5 linked regions of the Rattus norvegicus genome follow. The main gene of each other region encodes a partner of the protein of the gene in region 4 in a complex. Links are inferred from orthologs where the notes say so. Each region holds a gene or a part of one and is shown on either strand. Other genes may lie near its edges.

Region 1 (3,513 bases), on a different chromosome or scaffold from region 4:
ATGAGGGAACTGATGCACAGGGAGGTAATTTCCCCAGAGCATGCCGTAACTCGCCAGCTCAGTCTGTCCCGGCTTCTACCCTAAGCCCTGTGACCTCCATTGAACTCTCATTCGTGGGCCTCTCTGAGTCACCTCTTCACTGTCCTGCACTCTTGGCTGAATCCACATCCTATAATGGACATCCTCCTCCATGAGGGCTGTTAGTTCTGCACACTTCCACTTAGCAAGTGCCAGGCGGCAGGTGCTGACCCACGTGCTGAGACTGTGGTGGTGAACCAGCTAGGTAAGAAGTTCCCATCCTCCAGTGGCTCACGCGATCAGGAGACAGGGAGCAAGAAGTAAAAAATAGTCCCTTTCTTACTATTTATTGTGCTGGGTCCTGGGATCCACAGACCCAAATGAAGCACTGCTGTCGAATGGCTCAGGGACAGGGTTGAGGAGGCTGGGGCTGTGTCACATGGTGACAAACCCTCCAGGTTAACCACCGTGATTGGCGAGCAAGAGGGAGCTGCAGTAGCCACTTGAGCAGAGAAGGGAGTGTGGGGGCCGGTGACTCTGTCTGTCTTTCTCCCCATCCATCTTCTTTAGGAATTCTGTGCGGCTAGTCATCCGGAAGGTTCAATATGCCCCTGAGAGGCCTGGCCCTCAGCCCACGGCTGAGACCACCAGACAGTTCCTCATGTCGGACAAGCCCCTGCACCTTGAGGCATCTCTGGATAAGGAGGTAAGAGACTCAGATCCCATTGTCCCCAGCTCTACTACCCCTCAGATCCCAGTGTCTCCTGACAGCCCTTAAGTGTTTGCAGAACCCTGTTGTGGTTCAAAGGACTGACAGAGGTAGGCATGGGCATTTACAGGATGGGAGCAATGGAAGGGTTCTGGTCCTTCTCTTCACACTCTGATAATTGCCTGCTTGAGACCGGGTGGAGAAGCCCAGCACATCAGCAGGGGTGATGATGGGAAAGAGGACCCAAGGATGCCTTGCTATTACCCTCTTATCTATGAGCAAGAAGGTGAAAAACCCTTGAAGTCAGGTGACTAAGCCAACTGACTGGGGTGTAGGAGTGCACCTCCTCCTTCTTGGGGCAGCTAAAGGCAAGGGCCTGGACGAGTGGTGGAATTCTCTAAGAATTCCGAGCAGGTCCTTTAGTTGGTTAGCCTTTCCTCTCTTCTCCTGAATTTTCCAGAGTTTAATGTGTCTGCGAACCCAGACCATCAGAGCCCACAGGGACTTGAGGCCTTGCTCTGTCCAAGCCTGCACATAGAATAAGGAGAAGCAGAGTCTCAGATAACCTGTCCAAGGTCATGCAATGTTTATCATCATTGCTATTATTGTTGTTTGAGCTAGTGATCAGAATGGGACTGGAGCCGAGGATGTCAGCTTCTTTTTCTTTTTCCTATGTGTGTATGTGGGCGTGCATGGGTGCATGGGTGCTTGTGTATGTGTGTGTGTATGTGGTATGTATATGTGCGTGTGTATGTGTGTGTGATGTATGTGTGTGTGTGGTATGTATGTGTGTGTATGTATGTGTGGTGTGTGTGTGTGTGTGTGTGTGTGTGTGTGTGTGTGCACGTGTGCCCACACATGCATGTGTGTGGACCTGGAGGACAATCTTGAAGGTGTCATTCTCAGAAATGCCATCCAGCTCCTTTGAGGCAGTCTGTCAGTGGTACAGAGCTTACCTGGGCTAGATTCTGTGGGCATTGAGCCCCAGGGGTCCTCTTGTCTCTGCCTTCCTAGTGCTGGGATTACAAGTACCCAGCATTTCTACACAGCTTCTGGAGATCAAACTTAGTTCCTTGTGTTTGCAACACAAGTACTTTACTGACAAAGCCGTCCCCTCAGTCCTGGAATGGAAAGACATCTAGTACAGACGTCTTTGAAAGGTCCTACAGTGGTACTGAAGGTTCATATACACTTGGTAGTTTTGTGACACTTTTATGTCAGTGGGAAGTGGCTGAAGAGCTAGGGGGCAGAGTTTAGTGTCCCTGCCCACACTCTTCTGTCTTTTGCCTCACAGATCTATTATCATGGAGAGCCCATCAGCGTCAATGTCCATGTCACCAACAACACCAACAAGACTGTGAAGAAGATCAAGATCTCGGGTAGCTGGGAATCCTTCTGGGGGGGTGGGATAGCGGCAGGCGTGGTCTTCATTAAAAGCCTGAGACAGTACCATTAGTAGCTTCCTGAAGCTTGCGTCTGCCGGCAGCCTACAGTGGCTTCAAAGCTGGGCAATGGGTTTACTGCCTTGCAGATTCCTTCTTAGGCTTCCTGGGCTCTGGCCAAGCTGTCCTGGGAAGAAAGACTTCGTCATGGAAGGGACTAGGCTTTGATGGGGTTTCTGTTTGGGTGGAGTCTGGGGTGGTGGCCTGTGGTAAATGCTGGCCATTGTCTCAATCTAAGCAAGCACATCTGCCACAGGGAGCTTGAGGTATATCATGAGAGGGACCCCTGACTCATGCGCCCACCTCCCCGGCCCCTCTCTCTCCAGTGCGCCAGTATGCAGACATCTGTCTCTTCAACACAGCTCAGTACAAGTGCCCAGTGGCCATGGAGGAAGCTGAGTAAGTGTGTTTGAAGCCAACTTTGGATGGGTGGGACTAGATAGGAGAAAGGGAAGTTCTGAGTCTAGGACCAGGCATCTTTTTTTTTTTTTTTTTTTTTTTTTTTTTGGTTCTTTTTTTCGGAGCTGGGGACCGAACCCAGGGCCTTGTGCTTCCTAGGTAAGCGCTCTACCACTGAGCTAAATCCCCAGCCCCAGGACCAGGCATCTTTAATCAACCTGCAGAGAGCCGGGCCTCTGCCTTCTTTGACATTCACAGTAGATGGCACGGAAGAGTCTTCCTCCAGGTGCTGACATTATAGGCGTGAGCCAGCCACACCTGCCACTTAGACCTGGTTTCTAATATCCTAGAGACAGAGATGTTAATATCAAACCAACTATTCTTGCATTATTGGATAGTCTCATATTCACTGTTGATTAAAAATGAAGTCCGCAGCCACAAGGCATAGATGTTGGGGGTTCATTGCAACGACCTAGAGCCAGGACAGCATTTAACCCCAGGTGGGACACCATAGTCTGTATATGCATCTGCAGCCTGGAGGAAGGATAGTCGTCTGGGCTTCCAGTGAGCATGGTTTCCCGTGGGGTTGGGCTAGGGGGTTGAGATGTGGCTGGCTCTGCTCCAAGAGGCAAAGCTGGGCCTTACTCCATGGCTGCCCTGGTGTCAGGTGAATGCATCTGTCTCATCTTTGGAAAGGGAGAGGGGGGATAAAATAGCACCAGGCCAGAGTGAACAACGGAGGTTCCTGTACATGACTGATGGATACGCATTAGAGCAAGTAGAGTTTCAGTGGTAGAACCTGGGTAGGAGCTGCCAGACACTTACTCATGGTTTGCATGCAGTGATACTTTTGAAAGTAAACGTGGGCTGAGTAGTTAGGAGCCCTTGCTGTTCCTCTAGAGGACCAGGGTTCATTTTCCAGTCCCCATGTCAGGCAGCTCACAA
Region 2 (3,513 bases), on a different chromosome or scaffold from region 4:
CAAGGGTCCAGCCTGCTGTAATGGTACCAGCCTTGGGCAGGTAGGCAGCATTCCTCTGTAGTCTTTGCTTGAATCTCTGCTCTGACTTCCCTCAGTGCTGAGCTATGATGTGGAAGTGTAAGCCAAATAAACTCAAGGTGCCTTGGTCCTGGGTGTTTATCGGAGTGACAGAAAGCAAACTAGAATACTGTCTAATCTCGTCTCCAACTGTCTTCAATATTCTACTGCTGTAAGGCACCAGAACCCAGGTACCTTACAGAGGAAAGCATTTAACTGGGGCCCACAGTTTCAGAGTCCATGACCATCACGGCAGGAAGCATTGCAGCAAGAAGGCGAGCATGATACTGGACAGTAGCTGGGAGCTTACGTCTGAACCACAAGCATGAGGCAGTTACCTGCAAACGGAGTGGGCTTTTGAAACTTCAAAGCTCACCCTCCAGAGACACACCTCCTTCAACAAGGCCACACCCCCTAATCCACGAGGCAACTCACATGTCTGTAATTCTAGTTCCTGGGGACCTAAAGCCCAGTTCTGTCTTCTATACTGGGCATGGCATACATAAGGTGTATACATATACATTCAGGCAAAACAATCACACACAAAAAAATAGATCTTAAATATTCTTTGTAAGATGTCTTACCATAGGATCCTTTGTCTTTAAACATGACAGCATAAGAAAGATATTCAGATAAGACCAAAATCTTGGGTTTTGTTTTATTTGGGGACATGGTCTCACTCTGTAGCCCAGGTTAGCCTAGAACTTGTGATCTCCTGCCCCAGTCTCCCCTGTACTGGGATCATAGGCAGAAGCCACTGTGTCTGATGTGTTTCCCTTTCCTTCTTCTCCATCCTCCTCCTACTGTTGCTTTGTTGTTGTGTAGTTGTTTTTTGAACTAGTATCTCACTGTGCAGCTCTAGGTATCCTGGAACTCCCTGTGTAGATCAAGCTGGCCTTGAACTCCAGAGATGCACCTTTCTCTGCTTCCCTCAGTGAGTAGAGGGCCCTGGCCAACCAGAGCCAGCAGAGCAGCTGCCATGGTGTGCCTGAGTCTCCTCTCTGCTTACAGGTTCTGGGGTGCCCACCTGAGCACCACCACAGGCAGAGCTGGGAGCCAGGAAGCCTGCTGCAGTCAAAGGCAGAGGCCAGAGGCCAAGGAGAAAGACTTCAGCATTGACCACTCATCAAACCTTACTACTGCTGTGTGTTCAGGGGCTTCTTATGCTCTCTGGAGACTGAAAGAAACAAACTGGGATCACATTCAGAGAAGGCCCCTGCCTCTGCCCACCGACCGGTGACAACCCTTTTCAATGTCTTTCTTTTGTTGCTGGCTCTGTTCTATTTATTTATTTATTCATTTATTTACTTATTTATTTACTTTGGAGACAGGGTCTACTGTGCTGTCTTGGCTCATCTTTGTTTTCTGGACTAGGCTGGCCTTGAATTTAAATATGCCTGCCTCCGGCTCCTGAGTGCTGGGTTAAAGATGTTATATTTATCCACACTGTGGAAAGACAAAACCAATTCTGAAAAGATATACTCTGAACTCCAGGTGTGTCACAGTACATACACACACCCACAGGTATTAAAACTCTTCTAACAAATATTTTCAGTGAAGAGCTTTCTGTTTATTTTTTATTAATTTATTTTATGTATGAGTACACTGTAGCTGTCTTCAGACACACCAGAAGAGGGCATCAGATGCCATTACAGATGGTTGTGAGCCCCCATGTGGTTGCTGGGAATTGAACTCAGGACCTCTGGAAGAGCAGTCAGTGCTCTTAACCACTGAGCCATCTCTCCAGCCTGAGCCAAGCTTTAAATAGGAAAAAACGAGAAATACTTGGTTTTGTTTTTAACACTGTCTCACTGTGTGGTCCTGGGTGGCCAGGAACTCATTATGCAGAACATGCTGGTTTTGATAAACCAGAGCAGGACAGTCTTACTGGCTGAGAGGACAATGGCTAGCATCTGAGGGACTGAGGTATAGAATCTGAGAGCCAGAGAGCTGGAGAGAAGCAACACAGAGAAAATGACTCTAGAAAACTCTGTAGCATCTCCTGAAAGGGCGCTGCACAGCGGCAGCACTGTGCAGGCAAGATGCCTCAAGGTCGAGACAAGCAACTAACGGAGAACAAGGAACAGCACAGCCCCCAGCCTGAGTGGGCCGAGCAAACAACAGGACACTTAGCAGTGCCTGTGCAAAACCCCACACTGCAACAGGCCAAACAGCGCCCATTCCAGACCCATCCGTGACAGCGGAGCAGACTGGGCTACATTCACTGGTTGCCAAGCTCAGCCCCTTAAGGGAAACATAGTCCAGGGGGTTAAAAACAGAACCACAGAAGCAGAACAGCAACAGCAACAGAACAATGAAGCTCTCACCACCCAGGTGGGACAAAAGCCACCACACCTGTGGACAACCACACTGATGACAAGAGTGAGAGAGACGCAGGCCAGGGGCGGGCTTATCCAGAGAAATGGACACAAGAGGGTGGCAGAACACACCCTGGACAGAGTCAGAGTTAAAGAAGCCAACAGCACCAGCCGCACCAGTAGCCTCCCCAAAATCTTAAAACCGACCAATGTAGCTGTACTTACCAACAGAAAACTGGGGCACTTTAAATGGGTTTGTTGTGGTAGATACGGCCTCTGTCTTGCAGCCTAGAGAGGAGTCCTGTCGTTTTATGCTGACAGTTTTATTCAACTGACATGTCTCGGTGTCCAGGTCCACTCTGGGTCCTTTGTGTTTTGGAGTCTGGGGTTGTTGAGCAAGAGGACTTGGGGTGAGGGCCTTGGGCTGCTCTGCCACTGTCTGGGCAGCATCAGCCTTTTTGGCTTGTCTGCAAAATGCTCTGGCAGGGGCTGCTGGCAAAGCCTGGTGTGACGTGGCAAGTCCTACTCTGCCCAACTTGCTGGTGACTGACTGACGCCGGGAGCTGCTAGCGGGAATACTTGAAAGTTCACTGGACTTTGCTGCAAAAGTTGATAATCAAGGCTGGTTACTCAAGCCAGTTTCCAAACAGTTTAAAACATACACGCACGCACACACACACACACACACACACACACACACACACACACACACACAATGACACCTCTAGAATATCTAGCTAACATCAGACATACTGGATGCCCATTAGGCGATGACCGTGAGGACCAGCAGGATGTGTGAACCTGAGCTGAGTACCGTCTAACTCTCAGCCTGTGTGTGCACTCACAAGGCTAAGCTCTTCTTTCTTCGCTTCCTTGATGAGCAGAAGAAAGTGGACAGTGTAGTCGACAAGCAATGGACCTACTGTGTGAGTCCACAGTGAAGACTCAAGGGGAAACTTAAGGGAATAGTTACCGTTGTAGCCATGTCTATATGGTATGTTAGCCCTACTACGTCCTACCCCACTATCTCATCTGACTCTATGACTCTACCATAAACAACACACGGTGCCAGTGTCCTGAGTCAGTAGAGAAAGACCCACCTCACAGCTCCTGCACAGTGGCAGCCATGCATTCTCCT
Region 3 (4,255 bases), on a different chromosome or scaffold from region 4:
TTGTGAGTCACCATGTGGTTGCTGGGAATTGAACTCAGGACCTCTGGAAGAGCAGTCAGTGCTTTTTTTTTTCCTTTTTTTTCTTTTTTTCTTTTCTATTTTTCGGAGCTGGGGACCGAACCCAGGGCCTTGTGCTTGCTAGGCAAGCGACCTACCACTGAGCTAAATCCCCAACCCCCAGTCAGTGCTCTTAACCGCTGAGCCATCTCTCCAGCCCCGTGAAATGCTTTTCTGAGGCTGACATCAACCGTGAACCCACTGAAGCTCTGAGTACCTTCACTGCAGCTACCTGTACAAGACCATCCCTCCGGCAGCAGCGTTAATTGAGCTCAGTGGGTTATTAACACCAAAAAGGAGAGAATATGAAGGGGGAGGGCAATTGTTGGGGGGGTACCTGGGAGGCCTGAGATAAGTGAGGGGGGTGCATATGATCAAAATACATTACTTGTATGTATAAAATTGTCAAAGAAAAAAAAAAAAAGAGAGAGAGAGTTATCTCCGGGCAGTGGTGGTGCATGCCTTTAATCCCAACCCCAGAGGCAGAGCACGCGCAGATCTCTGTGAATTTGAGCCCAGTCTTATCTACAGCATGAGCTCCAGGAATAGCCAGGAATACACGCAACAACCCTGCCTTGAAAAACAAAAACACATCCAAAAAAAAAAAAAGGATATTCTATTTTTTTTTAAAGGTCACTAGTCTAGTTTGAAGCCTCAACTATACATTCAAGGTCAGATAGGCTACATTAAAAAAAAAAGCGAAAATGATTGCAGTGAGAGTTTGAGGCATGACATACAATCTGCTGTCTCAAAACATATATTGTTAATTACCAAAGAAAATGGCAACTTTACTGTGGAGAGAACAGGCTCCACCTGTACTGAATGATCAACGTGAACCTAACCAATAATGGGACAAACTGACATTCTGCTGTAAGAACTCGGTCACATTAATCTGAATAACTAAAGAAAGAGCTCAAGTGGAGAGACAAAACAATCAGCCAGTTGCCTTCTCGAACATCAATGTCACCAGACACAGAGAAAGAGGAACCGTCCCTGATTTCAGGGGATCATCACACAGATAGGGCGGCGGGATGATTCGTGCCGTCCTAGGCCAAGAGAACAAGGCTCTGCTGCGCGCACCGGGCACTCAGCTCCCTCCTCCTACGCAGGAAAAGGGCGTTCATATCACGCAGCTACAAAAATAGGAGAAACTTTTCCGTGAATGGACCCGGGCGGGCTCGGGAGGCTTGCACGCTCTGGGGCTGGTGAGGCGGTAGGTGGGCTGCCCCGGGGCTCGAACCGAGGGCGGGGCGACCACCCAGCCCCGCGGGCCCCGCCCTCGGCCGCTGACGTCACCACATTCCCGCCGCGACTCCTCCCGCCGCCGCTGCAGCCGCAGTGACAGGCAAGCCCGGCGGGTGACGGGAAGTGCGGGCCGCGGGTGCGGGCGGGAGGTGACAGCAGCCACGCGGGGAAGATGGCTGAGGACTTCGGCTTCTTCTCGTCGTCGGAGAGCGGGGCCCCCGAGGCCGCCGAGGAGGACCCGGCGGCCGCCTTCCTGGCCCAGCAGGAGAGCGAGATTGCTGGCATCGAGAATGACTCGGGTTTCGGGGCACCTGCCGCCAGCCAGGTGGCCTCTGCGCAGCCCGGACTCGCGAGCGGGGGTGAGTCAGCGCAGCGGCCTGGAACGGGGGGCCGAGGCCACCACCGGGGGCGGGAGGCCCAGTCTCGATCAGACCCGGCCTGGGTTCCTGCAGTAGTCTGAACCCAGCTATCCAGGGTGACCAGGGGTACCCCGGGGGGCTGTGTGTATCTGTGAGGCCTGGGAAAAGAGGGAGGAGCCGGGAGATGAGTTGGAGCCTGCGCTGAGGCTGGATCTGCTGACTCTGGGGACAGGAATTTTAGTCATGACATTTCATCTCCAGGCCAACTCCTCCACCGTCTGGCTCTGGAACCCTCCCCCTGCTCGGTTCTGAGACTGTCCCATTGTCCTAGCTAAGTGGTACAGGTGTGGGACAGACACAGTCCTCCTGACCCAGGAGGGCTTAGCGTTCCATTCTGCAAGGAAGCAGGGGGCGCTCGCAGGAGAACTCGCAGCAGCTCTTCCTTGGGGACCACCTGCCGTCCTGCAGGAGACAATGTTAATTACATAGAATAATTTCATACACGTTACGGAACCCATTTCAGAACTGGCTTCAAAGGGTGTTAAAACAACTAGGAAGTAGCAATCGAGAATTAAACCCCTTCTGTCGGATGCTGAGTCTTGTCCGTACCACACAGTCTTTCAAGAGCCTGACTGTAGGTCTGGACAGGGGCACACATGACCATGGGCTGTACCCTTCCTGTTTGTTCTTATAAATATACTTAAATATTTAGTAAAAATATGAACCTTCCTGGTTGCACTCCTAATAGATCTTGTTTCCTTTCTTTTCTTTCTTTCTTTCTTTTTTTTTTTTTTTCTTTTTTGGTGTCATGTTAAAGAGGTTTAATGGGTCCTGTTGGAAATAAGAATTGTAGATATTATGTTTATCTTCCTTTCATTCAACATTTTACTGTGTTGCCATCCCTGCTGGGGACACAGAAAGAAGAAGAAACTGTATCTATGGCCAAGCAGTTGAATGAACTCTGACATAAGAGTGTAATAAGCCTTCTGTAACATACACGAAGCTAGAGTTTGAGGGATTATCAGGATGGCTTGGGGAGTCAAGGTAAATCAACCCAGGTGATGACACCTGAGCTCGGTTCGTGGAAACCACGTGGTAGAGAGAACTCACGCCCACAAATTGTCCTCTGACCTCACATACAAGTGTGCGCTGTACACACAAAACACACACATAAATAAGACATAGATAATAATAATAATTAAAAAGAAAAAAACCCTGGAGTTTGAATGTCTTGCCTAGGGCCACACAGCCATGAATGATAGGTCTTGGGGTCTTCTTAGGGGATGATTGGATAAGGCAAGGAGCAGCAGGGTCTAGCCAAGCCATCCATGCAGGTCTGAAATAGCAGCTCTCAGTACCTCAACATAGGCCCTTCATTGTCCCAGTGAAGCTACCTAAGTTCCTGCATGGGACTCACTTGTCCACGGTTACCCCTTGAGAACAGTCTTTTCCCTCGTTAGGAGGTCCCAGGTTGTCAGAAACTCAGGAGAAAGACAGATGCGGTTCGGGCTGAGGATGGCCACATGAACCTGGGATTTTGCAAGTTGTCATCTTTCCTAGGGACTGACAATCTGAGTGGGTAGGGCACTGAATGGCCCTAGATATGAGATAACCTGGAGGGGGACAGTGGGGATAATCCTTAGGGGAGCTGCCAGGGACATGGCCCTCTGAGAGTCTCCCGGACTCCTACATTTGATGCTGCAGGTGCCCAGCTGCCCTTCGGAGTGACAGTTTGGGGAAGAAGGGGATGCTTCAGGAGGGAGTTCAACGGCTGTTCAAGCATAAAAAGAAGGGACCCCATTCTGGGGTTGAGGATTTAGCTCAGTGGTAGAGTGCTTGCCTAGCAAGCACAAGGCCCTGGGTTCGGTCCCCAGCTCCGAAAAAAAAAAAAAAAAAAAGGGACCCCATTCTCCAAAGCCCAGATGGTGGGACACACCTCTGCATCGCAGGGAATGGTAGAAGCCTGGGTGGTCTGAGGTGAACTGTCTGGGCCTTCTGGGAGCTGAAAAGAATCTGATTCTAACAGCAGCCACCAATGCACACCTCTGAGTCACCTCCCTTAGACAATGAGGTCTTCTGATAGCAGTTCTGTGCGGGAGTTCAACTGCTTCACTGCGCTGGCTCTCAGGCTGGCTGCCTGGGGAAAGCTGTGTCTGGCTTAGGCCTGAACCGGAACCCCACTGAGCCTTCCCTCTCGCCAGATCTGCAGCGGGCCTGAGCCGCGGATACTTTGTTTCCATTCATCAGCCTTGGGCACTGCCCAAATGCTCTACACTTTCACACCCTGTTCTCCCGGCTCTTGGCTAGACTGACTTATGGGCCAGCTCCGTGTAATCCTATTGCCCCTGCTGGCCTCAGTAAGCTCTCAGGAATGTTCTGGATCCTTTGCCCTTATTCCCGAGGAGGTTGCACACCAAAAACCCTATCCTTGGGACTCGTTATTTGCCTTGCTGTGTTTGTTCTGCCGGGCACTGTTTTAGAGTTGGAATCCTAAATGTGCAAGAGCCCTGTGGGGATACACGCTGGTGATTCCGAGAGTGAGTGTGTATGCTGTCCCAAAGAGGCTAACAATGACCCATTTTCCTGGAGGCCTG
Region 4 (3,513 bases):
CACCAAAGGAAAAGATATGCATATGCTGTAATCCAGCACCCAGAAGTTGATGCAGTTTACCAAGTTTAAAGACACATCCTTCATGCCACTGAGGAATTCCATCTCAAAAATTACAAATAAAATGAATGAACATATACACACTCCTAAGAACAGTTTAATTTCATAGTCCTAACACATTGATTCTGCCAGGGTGGTAAGCTGCTCATTGAATTTTCATGTGTTAAAATGTGGAGGTAGGAAGATAACTCAGTTGGAAAGTACTTGCCGTGTAAACAATAGGATGTGAGTTAATATCCATGACCCACATAAAAAGTCAGGTGTGGTGTGTGCTTGGAATCCCAGCAGAGTGGTAGGTCAGTCTTTTGTGCTTGCTGGCCAGCTAGCTCAAATTACTTAGACCCATGCCAACAAGAGACCCTGTTGTTTTTTTCTAAGTGGATGGTTTCTAAGGAATAAAAATAAAGCCTGCCCTTGGCCTTCATATGCACTTTTATGCGAGCATCCCACTAAACACGCGCGCGCGCGCACACACGCACACACACACACACACACACACACACACACACACACACACACACACACACGAGAGGGGAGGGAATTTAAACAGGAAACTCACTTGCTGAATATGAGCATTATTTGGCCCATTGATGAACTCTTCTAATTCTGCAAGACGGTTTGTTTTAGCCAGTGCAAATATCAATTCTGTCTCCACGTAGGACTCTCGGGCCTTCTTGCGTGCCATCTGCAAATACTTCACCAATTCTTCCCAGTTTCCTAAATAAAGAGAAAAATAAGCCCATAAACTAGCACTCTTATATTTCCAACCAAATATGTTAGATGTCCCCCTGCTAATTTGTTTTTTGAGAGTGTCATGCTATGTATATAGCCTAGGCAGTCCGTGAATTTAAGGCCTCCTGCCTCAGTGGCAGGAGTACATCACCACACCAGCTTAACTCTTTTTTCAAAGAAATATTATGTAGAATGACAAATGTAAAACTGGATATATCTAAAGTCTAAAAATTCCACTACACGTCTGTATTATTACTGCCCTAAAATTGCTTGATACTTCTCCCCACTTTAAAGTTATATACTAGAGCTCTATCAGGATTTTATCAGACCTCAAAACAAAATTAATTTTCTCCATGGATTTTCTTTTTTTTTTTTAATTTATTCATTTATTATATATAAGTACACTGTAGCTGTCTTCAGACACACCAGAAGAGGGCATCGGATCTCTTTATAGATGGTTGTGAGCCACCATGTGGTTGCTGGGAATTGAACTCAGGACCTCTGGAAGAGCAGTCGGTGCTCTTAACCGCTGAGCCATCTCTCCAGCCCCCTGGATTTTCTAAATTCATATAATTCAGTCAGTCTGAGATGCTGAGCTGAACGTTTTCACAAGTAACCAGGGAGTGCTAACCTCTATACTAGCAAAAGTATAGAATGTACTGAATGTTTGGCTTAGTAATTGTTTGGAGGTCTTAAAGACATAGACAAGAAGCCTTACCACTAGTATTGGCGGCCTGAACAACTTCCATGTAAGACGAAGGATCATCTGCTTTGATGTAAGAATCAATGGCTTCCTTCACCATCCCTTTCTGCAACTGAGCTTTTGCGAGTTGACTCCAAACAGCAGGCTCATTGCAGCGTTCAGCAAACTCATATGCACGATCCAGGTTTCCAATATGTTCAATTAACACCTGGGCAACATTTTTGAATTGGTGTTACAGTAAAATGGATCTTACCCAACAGAATTACATTTAAACAGACAGCATTTTATGATTATTCTGTGAAAGCAATCTGTGCACACGCTCACAAGACAATATATTCTTAACATCAAGACATTAGAGTCAGTATCTCAATTTATGTAACTTCATGATTTACCTGCACTGCTGAAGTATTGACATCAAACTTCCGGAAAATAGCAAATGCTTCTTCGAAGAGCTCATTGCTGATGGCAATGTTGGCAATATCTGGCGCATCATAATTGTCCAGGCGGTTAATATACTCCATAACTCGGGTTCGGTCAGCCTTAATTGCAGTGAGGATGAGGAGGTTTTGCAGATTCCTTAAGAAACAAACATTCAACACAATGTTTAAAAAGGTCATCAATGATGAGGAAACACTGTGGCACTAGACGGTTACTTGTGTCAAGGTCAAGGTAAGAAGAGACAGTATTAGGAGAGTAACAATCAAGAAAGCTGCCTAGTTGGGGATTTAGCTCAGTGGTAGAGCACTTGCCTAGGAAGCGCAAGGCCCTGGGTTCGGTCCCCAGCTCCGAAAAAAAAAAAAAGTTTAAAAAAGGTGATTACTTTTGGGGCTGGGGATTTAGCTCAGTGGTAGAGCGCTTACCTAGGAAGCGCAAGGCCCTGGGTTCGATCCCCAGCTCCGAAAAAAAGAACCAAAAAAAAAAAAAAAAAAAAAAAAAAAGAAAGCTGCCTATTCACTTTGTTTCTGTTCCTTCCCCAAACTGACAGGCCACAGTGAAAGACTGAGAAAGCCAATGCAATCCCCTGCCAGCTTACCTGTGTTCACTGAATACAGAGTTATCAAGGACAATTTTCTCCAGCAGCTCAATGAGTTCATTAGGAAGATCTGCTGTCATAAAAGCCTTGACAGTTACTGACACTTCTTCTGGGTCCTGAGTTTCAGACAAGGCTGTCTGTACGACCTACAAAGGACATACATGGAAGAGTTAAAAAAATAAAAAAATAAAAAATCAAGGTGTTTTTAAAAAGACATTGGCTGGTAACAATAAGTTAGTTAACATCTCAATAGAAAATCTCAAATAGAAGGAAAAATGCCCTTTCTACTCGAAGACCTTTGTACACAATATACATGGACACACATTGTTTATAATTATGTTCCCATCAGCAGTTATGTCACTTGCACTTTCCCTGATAGAACACTATCCATGATAACTTATCACTATTACTGTAATGGGTCCTCATCTTCAAATCCCTAGACACAGATTAGGAAATGAACAACCCTCGTTTGTCTACTTCCATATGCCCAGATGCCATGAGTGCAGGAAGCTTTATCTACATGGGAATGCGCCTTGGAAATGCTTTCTAGAGAGTGTGTGTCACTCTCTTTTTGTGTGTCAGAAGAATTTAAGAATCATTATTATAACAAGCAATAATTAGCGCTTTAAATTCAAGATTTCAATTTCATATAGGTATAAAAATCTCCACTGCAGTGCTGTGTTACTTAGTTAGAATTCTTATACTGGTTTGGGTACAGTGTGTGCATGAAGGTGTACAGGTGCTGTGTCTTGCCAGTCACCAGCATGCTCCAGAGGTCTTCCTGTCTGCCTACCCAGCCCTGCTTGTAGGCGATGCTAGTAACCAGAAACTGGGTCACACTTACCAATAATCTTCATGATACTTGGAATTTAGAAAAGAATTGGAGATAGAATCTTGCTACACTCACAGGATGATGTTAATTAACTCAAACTCATACTCTTTCTTTCTCTCTCAAACTCCTAAGTACTAGGGACTTTAAGCTGTTAGA
Region 5 (3,512 bases), on a different chromosome or scaffold from region 4:
GCTTATTGTAAGTTTTAGTGTTTTATTTTATGTATATGCATGCTTACCTACACGGTTGTCTGCATCGTGGGCACGGCATAGCAAAGCGAAGCATGGGCTAACGTGGTAATCCTCTTGTCACAGAAGGTTCCTGGCACCGGCAGTAACAAGAGTAGGCTCTGTACTGCCTTTCTAAACAAAAAAATGATCGAAAAGACTTGCGATGGAGGTTGTTTTTTCTTTTCTAGTCCTGTCCTCTGAACGTCGTTCTCAATTCGGAGCACACGTGTCTGCCAGCAGAGCTGTGCCTGAGGGCAGGGCTGCAGGGGACCTTCTCAGACAGAAGACGCCACTGAAGAGGCCTGACCCGCAGAGCAGCACGATCGAGCATGTTGATCGGACGTTTTCAGATGGACTTGAAAGCAGGTATCTCTTTAATGTGTATTGTGAGATTAACCGTGTTGACGTGAGCTGCCATTCCATACAGTTAAGCTGGTGGAGTGTGACAGCTGTACGTTTCTAATTAAACTTATAACCCCGCACTGTGGGCAAGTCTGGCTGTATTCTGAGGAAACAGACGTCCTGTTTCAGGTTGGCGTCAACTGGAGTAGTCCAAGCCACTCAGGAGACTGAGGTGGAAGGAGTATTACCAGCAGTTTGGAACCAGCCTTAGCAACAAACACCAGTGTCTTAAGAGAAAGCACCAAGACTGAAGTTGATAAGTGGTCCTGTTGTGAATGGCAAAAGTGCGGTACATGGGAGAGAAGCAGTGTGGTGTCTTCTGTGCACGGCAGATCTCAGCTCAAAGCCACCCATGTGGCATGCAGCTTGAGCACGTGGGACAAGTCATTCGCTCAGCCTCACTCTCCTCATCTGTGGAACAGGAGCGCTCTGCCGTTGGTGGGGGTGAAGAGGCTCGTGCCCTCGTACCGTGGTTATAGAGAAGATGCCCAGTGTGTAGACATCGCTTTAGGACGTTAACTCGTGACAGCCCTTACAGTAGCCATGCCAGACGCTGGAGGAGAAACCCAAGTGTATCCTAGTGAGGTTGAGCTTGCGATTGACCCAGCTGATCCGTTCTCTACACAGTCGCATCAGCTTAGCCTGCTGCGCTTACAGCGGCTCATCTGAGAGGGAAAGGGAACCGTGAGGAGTAGGAAGCTGTACTCTGATGTCTGGAGAAGATGCGGGGCTTGTTACTAATCTGAACTTTGGAAAATATTGAACACTCCTCATTGTAAAAACATACCACTAAGTGTGGCATGGGGTGGGGGCAGGCCCTGTGCGTCAAAATAGAAGAGGCACATGGAAGTCCTTAACTATTCTTTAATACATACCAAAAGCATTTTCACCTTTTAGGGCCACAAAAATGCTTTTTGGTATTATAAAAATCTGTGTTTTTTTTTTTTAATATTTATGTATTTGAGTACACTGTCACTGTCTTCAGATACACCAGAAGAGGGCATTGAATTCTATTACAGATGGTTGTGAGCCACCATGTGGTTGCTGGGATTTGAACTCAGGACCTCTGAAAGAGCAGTCAGTGCTCTTAACCACTGAGCCATCTCTCCAGCCCCAAAATCTGTGTTTTTTAAGATACCAATTTATTATCATGCTGCTTTGTATAATTATATTCGTTATCTGTATTAGGAAGATCTGTAATAGCAGTTGAGTTATATTGTAATTGTCCCTCCCAAAATCAGGTTCTGGGACCAGCAACAGTGGGTAAAGGCATTTGTTTTGCCAGCCTGTGGCCTTCAAATACACACACACACACACACACACACACACACACACACACACACACACAAAATGTTTTTTAAATGTTTTGTTGCAAACATCTTACAAGAAGGCATCTTAAAAATAAACAGCTTAGAACCAGGCAGTGGTGGCACATGCCTTTAATTCCAGCACTCGGGAGGCAGAAGCAGGTGGATCTCTGTGAGTTCGAGGCCATCCTGGTCACAGCAAGACAAAATTGCAATCTGTTTAATTACTTCGAATGTGTAGATTCACGCATGCATGCTGTGACATGTGTGGAAGCCAGAGGGCAGCTCTCAGCGAGCAGTTCTCTCTCCCCAACATGTGGCTCCAGGGGTGAGCTCAGGTCACCAGGCTTGGTGGCAGGCTCCTTTACCTAGGAATCACCTTATTGGCCCCTGAAGAGACTATGACAGATAAATTTTTTAAAGTTTTTTATTAACATACGAAAGAGTGGGTTTGTGGTTCTGATTTTGGTGGTCCTGGGATTGAACACAGAGCTTTCACATGCTAGGCAAGCACCCTCTGCCAGCCCTGGACTTCGTTGTCATTGTTTCCAGTTGCATTGTTTTCTATGTTCGTTGTGTCTGTCTGTGTCTGTGGGCACAAACATGCTCAGATCTGGTCTCTACTTACGTTTATGATTAAAATGTATTGAGTTATACTATCAAGTAAGCATGGCCAACTTGCAGGCGTGATAGCCCATCTGTGGATCCAGCACTTGGGAAGCTGAGGCAGGAGAGTTGAGAAGCCAACCTGGGTTATGTAGCAAGAATGGTCACACAGGACACAGCAAAGTCGCTTCACAGTGCCTGAGCTGCTTTGCTTCAGAGCCCAGCCTCACCCTGACCTGTTCCAGTCCTGTGGCTCTGGGTTTGGCTGACAGTCAGCATTGCAGGTGGAACCGTATTAGCCTGAGCGGTTGGCATGGGAAGGGGCCTGTGAGCTTCTAGGGAAAGAGGGCGTCGTCTGTGTGGCCATCATAAACTGTCCAGTCTGTACAGAGGAGCAGGCTCCTGGGCCAGGCTCTATGTTCAGTTCCACTATGCAAGCTAGTGGCCTCCATGCAGGGTGGATGACTGTGATGTGTTTCGTTACTGGTGTATAATACCACGGCTCGTTTCAGGTGCAGCCAAGTAGAAGACATCCTGTGTCCCGTACAGCAAGATTCAAGTGACGTAGAGCGTGTAAGTCCTTGTGCGCGGTGGTGGCAGGCAGCCATGGGTGTGGTGTTTATGAAGACACTAACAGGCAGAGTCGTCGTTCCCGTTCGACTGTTCCTTGGGGTGTTTGAAGCCATGCTGTGTTCTTCAGGACACATCAAGATGGCCTCTTTAAAGTTCTTTGAAAGAATTGCTTTCTGTCTCTGTGTTTTGCCTGCATGTATATCTATTCACTGTGTGCATAGTCTCCTGGACCTGGAATTACACACGGTTGTGAGCTGCCATGTGGGTGCTGGGAATCAAACCCAGGCCCTCTGAAGAGCAGCCAGTGCTCTTAACCTCTGAGCCATCTCTTGCCATGGCCTCTAATCTTTGAACCAGATTTGATGGTGACAGTAACTACTCGTCTGTGTTATTACATCTGGTTTCCTTCACTCCGTAGGCCTTGAACTGGAACCTTCTTGCCCCAGAGTCCTGGGGACACCAGGCCCAGTTTGCTCTTGTAATTTACTTTCTCTTCCCAAAAACATGTGCCACTCTGTGCTGAGTGGGCGCTTGCTGAAAAGGCTGCTGTCTTCCTCACGGTGTTCTTTATGATCTGTGCAGATG

Evidence for each region.
Region 1: the proteins of Cltc (region 4) and Arrb1 are in contact, whole or in part, in a crystal structure (PDB 3GC3), measured with the Bos taurus proteins. The link is inferred for Rattus norvegicus from reciprocal best matches to the Homo sapiens genes CLTC and ARRB1. Residues at the interface, in NP_776448.1 of Bos taurus: His12, Leu13, Gln14, Gln16, Asn17, Leu18, Gly19, Val50, Asn56, Asp57, Pro58, Ser59, Asn60, Ile62, Arg63, Arg64, Pro65, Ile66, Ser67, Ala68, Lys78, Ile80, Leu82, Lys83, Ala84, Thr87, Gln89, Phe91, Asn92, Ile93; in NP_776668.1 of Bos taurus: His30, Ile31, Asp32, Leu33, Val34, Glu35, Pro36, Pro96, Thr98, Arg99, Tyr173, Pro175, Lys355, Thr374, Asn375, Leu376, Ile377, Glu378, Leu379, Asp380.
Region 2: the proteins of Cltc (region 4) and Gtse1 are in contact, whole or in part, in a crystal structure (PDB 6QNP), measured with the Homo sapiens proteins. The link is inferred for Rattus norvegicus from reciprocal best matches to the Homo sapiens genes CLTC and GTSE1. Residues at the interface, in NP_004850.1 of Homo sapiens: Val50, Arg64, Pro65, Ile66, Ser67, Ala68, Leu82, Lys83, Ala84, Thr87, Gln89, Phe91, Asn92, Ile93, Lys96, Ser97, Lys98, Asp143, Arg144, His145, Trp164, Gln182, Leu183, Tyr184, Ser185, Arg188, Lys189, Val190, Ser191, Gln192; in NP_057510.5 of Homo sapiens: Ser686, Arg687, Pro688, Leu689, Ile690, Asp691, Leu692, Met693, Ser707, Pro708, Val709, Val710, Gly711, Gln712, Leu713, Ile714, Asp715, Leu716, Ser718.
Region 3: the proteins of Cltc (region 4) and Cltb are in contact, whole or in part, in a cryo-EM structure (PDB 6SCT), measured with the Sus scrofa proteins. The link is inferred for Rattus norvegicus from reciprocal best matches to the Homo sapiens genes CLTC and CLTB. Residues at the interface, in NP_001139599.1 of Sus scrofa: Gln1291, Arg1293, Gly1294, Phe1296, Lys1326, Phe1327, Gln1354, Ala1355, His1356, Pro1382, Thr1383, Glu1413, Phe1414, Lys1415, Pro1416, Leu1417, Gln1444, Pro1446, Leu1447, Thr1473, Glu1474, Glu1475, Glu1503, Leu1504, Ile1505, Arg1508, Leu1533, Lys1535, Met1538, Lys1562; in XP_005661527.2 of Sus scrofa: Pro100, Ser102, Trp106, Gln110, Leu114, Ser121, Thr124, Glu125, Trp128, Arg129, Ala132, Asp135, Leu136, Trp139, Val147, Asn150, Lys151, Asn154, Arg155, Asp158, Tyr162, Glu191, Trp192, Lys194, Val195, Leu198, Cys199, Asp200, Phe201, Cys209.
Region 5: the proteins of Cltc (region 4) and Dlgap5 are in contact, whole or in part, in a crystal structure (PDB 7ZX4), measured with the Homo sapiens proteins. The link is inferred for Rattus norvegicus from reciprocal best matches to the Homo sapiens genes CLTC and DLGAP5. Residues at the interface, in NP_004850.1 of Homo sapiens: Val50, Arg64, Pro65, Ile66, Ser67, Ala68, Leu82, Lys83, Ala84, Thr87, Gln89, Phe91, Ile93, Lys96, Ser97, Lys98; in NP_055565.3 of Homo sapiens: Gly833, Asn834, Leu835, Ile836, Thr837, Phe838, Ser839, Pro840, Leu841.

What each region holds. Positions count from the first base shown.
Region 1 is NC_086019.1:163,305,711-163,309,223, forward strand, and holds part of Arrb1 (beta-arrestin-1), read left to right. Parts: exon of another isoform or gene 1-582; intron 583-588; coding exon 589-724; intron 725-2,021; coding exon 2,022-2,106; intron 2,107-2,495; coding exon 2,496-2,568; intron 2,569-3,513. UniProt on the Homo sapiens protein: Functions in regulating agonist-mediated G-protein coupled receptor (GPCR) signaling by mediating both receptor desensitization and resensitization processes.
Region 2 is NC_086025.1:118,836,661-118,840,173, reverse strand, and holds part of Gtse1 (G2 and S phase-expressed protein 1), read right to left. Parts: intron 2,976-3,513; coding exon 2,601-2,975; intron 1-2,600. UniProt on the Homo sapiens protein: May be involved in p53-induced cell cycle arrest in G2/M phase by interfering with microtubule rearrangements that are required to enter mitosis. Overexpression delays G2/M phase progression.
Region 3 is NC_086035.1:10,005,269-10,009,523, forward strand, and holds the start of Cltb (clathrin light chain B), read left to right. Parts: upstream 1-1,446; 5' UTR 1,447-1,474; coding exon 1,475-1,661; intron 1,662-4,255. UniProt on the Homo sapiens protein: Clathrin is the major protein of the polyhedral coat of coated pits and vesicles.
Region 4 is NC_086028.1:72,025,692-72,029,204, forward strand, and holds part of Cltc (clathrin heavy chain 1), read right to left. Parts: intron 2,672-3,513; coding exon 2,526-2,671; intron 2,069-2,525; coding exon 1,885-2,068; intron 1,701-1,884; coding exon 1,508-1,700; intron 775-1,507; coding exon 617-774; intron 1-616. UniProt on the Homo sapiens protein: Clathrin is the major protein of the polyhedral coat of coated pits and vesicles. Two different adapter protein complexes link the clathrin lattice either to the plasma membrane or to the trans-Golgi network.
Region 5 is NC_086033.1:23,116,672-23,120,183, reverse strand, and holds part of Dlgap5 (disks large-associated protein 5), read left to right. Parts: intron 1-227; coding exon 228-405; intron 406-570; coding exon of another isoform or gene 571-652; exon of another isoform or gene 653-2,848; intron 2,849-2,866; coding exon 2,867-2,927; intron 2,928-3,512. UniProt on the Homo sapiens protein: Potential cell cycle regulator that may play a role in carcinogenesis of cancer cells. Mitotic phosphoprotein regulated by the ubiquitin-proteasome pathway.